2 linked regions of the Cricetulus griseus genome follow. The protein of the gene in region 1 interacts with the protein of each later gene in a pairwise test. Links are inferred from orthologs where the notes say so. Each region holds a gene or a part of one and is shown on either strand. Other genes may lie near its edges.

Region 1 (2,589 bases):
AAAATGAGCACTGTATTATGAAAATTGGAAATGATGAGTCTGGTTTGGTGGCCAGGCCCTGAATTTATGTTTAGTGCCTGCTTTTCTGTACTATAGAAGGATTCCAGTGATTCTGTGCCATGTCTGTTCCTCCTGGTTTTCCTGTGCTTATTTACAGCTATGGCCATCACACTCACTTTGTTCCTTTTTCTCTCCCTCCAAGTCTGTGTTAAGTTCCAGTAACTTGTTGGCTGTGGTCTAGAATCTGGGTGACCTGACTTGCCTGGAAAGGAAGGACTGGTAGGAAGTCGGGGTGTTGCTAAGAAGTCTTCTTGCTGTAGAAATCAAATCCATCAGAATCCCCCTTCTGATGAACTTAGGAGGTGTGCATGTTTTGTATCACTGATTCTATTTTGATTAATGACATTAAAGTTACAATTTTTAATTCTTATGAAGGTTGCACCTAATAATCTTGGCAAGTGGTTCGACAAATGCCTGCTATTTGTATTGCAACTCTTGCATCCAATAGCTGCTTGGAGTGATTTAACGCAGCTGAGGAGGACTAGCACTAACAATCATTATAGCCTGAAAAGTGCACAAGTTCACTGTGCTTTTTTTCCTTCTTCAGTCTAAAGACCGATTAATGCTCATCAGATGCTACTTGAAAATCGTTTTCGTTGTATTATGATTAAAGAAATAGTTTAAAGGAGAGGTGAGCCCTGAGGCAGGCCAGTGCTATTTAACCCGTGAGAGGTCGTTTTACTAAGGATTTACTTTAGCCATGCTTCGTCTGCACCCCACCCCCATCTTGCTGAGTGATAGCACAGATGTAGCTCGTTTTGAGAATACAAGGAAGGAGGGAAAGGGGCTAGGGTGAAATCAGGAATCTTCAACCATGCTTCCAGACTCCCCAGGGTTGTTCCTAGTCATTTCTACCTAGTGCCCCTGGTGCCTTTCCTACCTGAAGGTGTGATGCCATCGCCTCTAGCCCTATGTCGCTACCTCCCTGGTGAGTTGTCACCGTCGTTGGACTTGCGACCCTGCAGTAGCCCCTTGGTGGCTCCGGGGAAGGCCGGGAAGCTCTTCCTGGGAGCCACTCCTCCTCGGGCCCCGCGGCTGCCACGCCGGCTGGCCTGGTGTTCCATCGACTGGGAACAGGTATGCCTGCTGCATAGGCTGGGTTCTGGAGGGTTTGGTTCGGTGTACAAAGCCACTTACCACGGTGTTCCTGTGGCCATAAAGCAAGTGAACAAGTGCACCAAGAACCTACGTGCATCCCAGCGGAGTTTCTGGGCTGAACTCAACATTGCAAGACTGCGCCATGACAACATAGTCCGGGTTGTGGCTGCCAGCACGCATACGCCCAAGGGCTCTAACAGCCTGGGTACCATAATCATGGAGTTTGGGGGCAATGTGACTCTACACCAAGTCATCTATGGTGCCACCCGCTCTCCAGGGCCTCTAAGCTGCAGCCGAGAACAACTGAGTTTGGGGAAGTGCCTTAAGTATTCCCTAGATATTGTTAATGGCCTGCTTTTCCTCCACTCACAAAGCATTTTGCACTTGGACCTGAAGCCAGCGAACATTTTGATCAATGAGCAGGACGTCTGTAAGATCAGTGATTTCGGCTGCTCCCAAAAGCTGCAAGATCTGTGGTGCAGCCAGACGCCCCCTCACCACATAGGTGGCACCTACACGCACCAAGCTCCGGAGCTCCTGAAAGGAGAGACCGCCACGCGCAAAGCCGACATCTACTCTTTCGGCATCACCCTCTGGCAGATGACCACCAGGGAGGTGCCATACTCAGGCGAGCCTCAGCAGGTGCAGTACGCTGTGGTGGCCTACAATCTGCGACCGTCCCTGGCGGGGGCAGTGTTCACCTCCTCACCGACGGGGCGGAAGTTGCAGAGCATCCTCCGGAGCTGCTGGGAGGCCCGCGCCCTGCAGAGGCCGGGTGCAGAACTGCTCTTGAGGGACCTGAACGCTTTGCGAGCAGCATTGGGCTGACTCCATCCAGCCTGTGCTTTTTGTTTCTGATTATTTTTAAAGAAGTAAGGGTGGTGTGGAAGAAAACATACCCCTAGGACATAATTTTAGAAAATAAAGTTACTGAAAACTTCAATCTGAAGGGTTTTTTTTTTTTTTTTCCTGAGAATAAGGAGGCTACAGATTTCATGAGCATCACTGCTGGTAACAAACCTGACCCCCTTTATAGTTCTCTGTCCCCTTTCTGGGCTCCTGACCGACTGTATCATCTCCACAATATTGCTGTTAGTTGGATTTGTTACTGAGTGGAAAACAGAAGAGAAAGGGAGGGGAGAGTAAGGAAAGGAGGGAGGGAGGGAGGGAGGAAGGGAGGAAAGAAAGAAGGAAAGAAGGAAAGAAGGAAATGACATGACTACTAATAGGTGTGGTGAAAGAGAAAGTTTATTGTAGATAAAAGGGAGACATAGTCAGAGGCAGGGACATCTGGAAAAGTCCATAGTGAATATGATCCTGAGCCATGGGGGGAGGGGGGAAGAGACGGGAACCAGGTGCAACAATCAGAAGACCCCCCAAAAGGAGAGATAATCAAAATGACTAGATTATATAGGGAGGAGCATCTAGGGG
Region 2 (3,742 bases), on another chromosome or scaffold:
CTCTTGTGAGTTCGAGACCAGCCTGGTCTACAAGAGCTAGTTCCAGGACAGCCTCCAAAGCCACAGGTAAACCCTGTCTCGAAAAACAAAAACAAAAAAACAAAAAACAAAAAAAATTTTAAAAAGTGTGAATTCAAGGTGACCCTTACATATCCAGTTTCAGAACAAAAAACCGACGGCGGCAGAGGGGGGACGGGAGAAGGAGCAACAATTACTGATTAGTTACATTTATTCTTTAGAGTTATAATTACAGAAAGAATTCTACCTATTTTTAACAGAGATCAGGGAGATCTTTTGGCTCTAGTAGAGTTTGCTTCTGTAAATAAAAAGGCACGGCATAAAATAGTAAACAACTAATCTTTATTGAACACTATACTAGACAATTATGAAATGTCTCTAAATCCATTGCAACTCGATGCTCGATAGGCATTATTTTCGTTGTAGTAAAGAAGTGAAGAAGTGTCCAAGCATTGAACTAAGGGACCCAAACTCGAACACATAAGCACACAACCTCATAGCAAGGGTAGTACCGTGTCACCACCACGCGTGGCTCAAAGGTCGGGGGGTAAGATCTACCTGCGGGACGCAAATCAATGGGTGAAAGGTTAACAGGAAGTGGCTACAAGACTAGAGGTTCTTAATGTGTCACAGCATGACAGAGGAGGCGTTACTAAAATAGTTTTCTCAACACCCTCTCAGCTGGTAAAGCCATAAAGAGTCTGTAATATCTGGAAGAAAACAAAAACAAAAACAAAAACAAAGCATGATTCTCAGGGTTGCTGCCCAGACAGCAGCCACAACGGGAGATAACAAAGGCGCATGCGCGGCATCCGGGTTTCCGGATGCGCGCCTAAGGCCGACGTGGCAAAGGGGTGGCTCCCCCAGTCCTACAGCATGGGGCGGAACTTCCGGGGACGGCACGCCAGCTCCCTCGGAACCGGAAGTGGAGCCTGGGATCCTTGACGTTAGGAACGAAGTCGAACCTGGATCTGGAGCCGGGTGAGGAGTGGCATCGCGAGGTTGCGCGGTGGGGAGGAATGCTGAGGAGAGGCCAGGGTATTTCTGGTCTGGCCGTGGTCCGGTTTTAGAGGAAAGGGAGGAGCCTGGAGGCGGGGTCTGGGAAGAGACCCTCACCTCCCGCATCCGTGACCGGCGATCGGTCCCAGACCCCTCCCTTCACCTCCTGGCCCAGGTTCCGGCTCTCGCCTCGCCTTCCCGGAATGTTGAAGGGCTTTAGAAGCTTGGTCTTTACTGCTTAATGAACCGGCCCTCATCGTGGCCCTAGAGGCTGGCGTGGCTTGCTGATCTCGATCCCTGGAGCTCCCAAGCCTCTGCATCTCGGGTACTTTCAGAGTTCTAGGAGGCTTGCCCCGCCCCTTTGGGTTGTCACCCTCGACTGTCCACCTAGAATGGAGTCAAGATTGGAGTTTGACTCCAAGCTTATTGCGTTGCTCTCTCTCTTGACCTGAGGAAGTTAAAGTGAGAGGGACGTCTCCCAAGCTCACTGTCAGTGGCATGTGTAAGGTTTAGGGTTTGGAAGGACAGTTCCTAAAATGGCTTTGACTTTACAGAGTTACCAGTCCGGTAGCAGTTCATCTTTTGGGCTTTGCTAGCAGACCTGAGTGAGAGGTCACACTCTTCCTGGGCCCCCTTCTGCCTGTAGAATAATTAGAATGATAAGATTGTTTAGATCTGCTGTCCCCCTTCTTGGAATGACCCTTGAAAGGACCTCCAACTCATCCCTCTGTTGCTGGGCAAGACTGCAATAGTTTTGATAGCGACCTATCAAGCAAACATTAGAACAGAAACCGAATTACCCGACATGCTTTTGGATTTAGAATACCCATACTCCTCTGCTTGAGGAATGAAATGAATGAACTTGTAATGGAATATTGCTTGCTAGGTATTCAGGTGTTCTCTACCTTTTTTTTTTTTTCTTCTCTGTGTAGCTCTGGCTGTCCTGGAACTCTCTCTCTCTGTAGACCAGGGTAGCCTTGAACTCAAAGAGATCTTCCTGCCTCTGCCTCTCAAGTGCTGGAACTAAAGGCGTGCACCATGACTGCTCAGCTATTGTTTTTTGATTTTGCTTTTTTGTCTTTGCAGGATTAATACACTGTTCTCATGGAAAGTCTGGGGTCAGAGTATCATTTGGATTATTGTAGGTCAGAGAAAGATGCCATTTCTCCCAGACAATTCTACAGTTGTCTTTTGTGGGGGAGGGATTTTAGTTGATCCATTTTTAATTTTTTTTGTGTGTTAGTAGTTCAAAACAGCTCAGCACATTTGAAGTTACTCAAGTGTTTATTGCCTGAATGGATGAGTTGATGGTAGACAGAATGAATGGAAAGTGGAAACATTGTTTTATTTACTTGTAACATCATGGTATTTATCAGCCAGGGGACTCTGTGTGACTAGACACTGAAAATCATACCACTGGAGAATGTCTGCTGTTCTGTTCCATTAGGTCTGTCTGAAGTTGAAATTTATACCTTCTTGGCAGTGACACAACATGGGGTTCACAGTAACTAAATCCTTGCTTTGAAGAAAGTGACTGGGTACTGGCTGGGGCAGGAAGTTACTGAGATCTGTGGTAATGTGGAAACAGTTTATCTGATCACTGCCTGATAAGGCCAATCCCTTTTTGTCTTTTCCTTCCTTCCCTGAATAGTTGCGCTCTCCTCAGAAAGTGTTTTGACTAATTTCTTTCTTTTCCTTCCTCCAATAGGTAAGATCAAATCGGGGATGCTCTCATAATGAATGTCAATCAATCAGCTCCACCTGTTCCACCATTTGGGCAGAACCAGCCCATCTACCCAGGGTATCATCAGTCCAGTTATGGTGGGCAACCAGGACCTGCAGTAGCTGCTACTCCCTATGGAGCCTACAATGGCCCAGTGCCAGGGTATCAGCAAATACCTCCCCAAGGTATGTTTCCAGGTTCCTTTTGAGTGGAGGAAGGGAATGAGCAGTCTTCACATTAGATTGTATTGCTCTGACGAAGCTGCTTAAGGACTGTGATTAAAGAACATGAATCTGGCTCGCCCCATGAGGCATACAAAGGTATGTCTCACCCTGTTTTTACATTTGTGACTGTTGCCACCATAAGACACCTAATGGGAATGAATTCCAGATTCAATTAACAGCTGACTTCTGTGGATGTCACCCCGGACAGTCTCACCTGGCTGCATTGTTAAGAGCTAGACAAGGGTTGTAGTCACAGGTTTTCCATTGCCTACTGATTTCAAGTTTGCCTGACATCACTTGTTCCTCATACGTGTTGAGAATGCTTATTTGACTTCTAGTTCTGACTATAAAATGACTCTGAGACACATTTATGTGTAAATGAATCTGGGAGGAAAAGTGTATTTGTATGGCTGACTTTTAGTATTCCTAGTCTCTTGTTGTATTTTGTTTTCCTTTGCTTGGGTTTCATTTTCTTAGATGTTTGACAATATCAGTGAAATAAGAAAACTTATTGCATTAGACTCTATGCCCCCAGCCCTCAGTGTTTTGTTTTATGTTACTTTTTCAAGAATAGCTCATTCTCTGCATGCTACCAGGCAGACTTGCAATGTTATTAACAGAAGACTTTTGGGTTTGGCTCTCTGATTACTTAGAGCAATGCCAAATGCTGTGTTGCTTAAGAAAGTAGATTCCACAGGCACAGGCCTGTAATCCTGTGAGGGAAGCTGCAGCAGGAGGATTGTGGGTTCAAGGCCTGCCTGTGCTATAGAGTAAATTC

What was found.
Region 2: the proteins of Mos (region 1) and Sec24c interact in binary tests that used the Homo sapiens proteins (3 or more experiments, as listed by UniProt). The two-hybrid records come from large-scale screens. The link is inferred for Cricetulus griseus from reciprocal best matches to the Homo sapiens genes MOS and SEC24C.

What each region holds. Positions count from the first base shown.
Region 1 is NC_048595.1:156,239,271-156,241,859, forward strand, and holds Mos (proto-oncogene serine/threonine-protein kinase mos), read left to right. Parts: upstream 1-951; coding exon 952-1,986; downstream 1,987-2,589.
Region 2 is NW_023276807.1:200,310,147-200,313,888, reverse strand, and holds the start of Sec24c (protein transport protein Sec24C), read left to right. Parts: upstream 1-846; 5' UTR 847-999; intron 1,000-1,062; exon of another isoform or gene 1,063-1,342; intron 1,343-2,212; exon of another isoform or gene 2,213-2,590; intron 2,591-2,725; 5' UTR 2,726-2,753; coding exon 2,754-2,925; intron 2,926-3,742. UniProt on the Homo sapiens protein: Component of the coat protein complex II (COPII) which promotes the formation of transport vesicles from the endoplasmic reticulum (ER).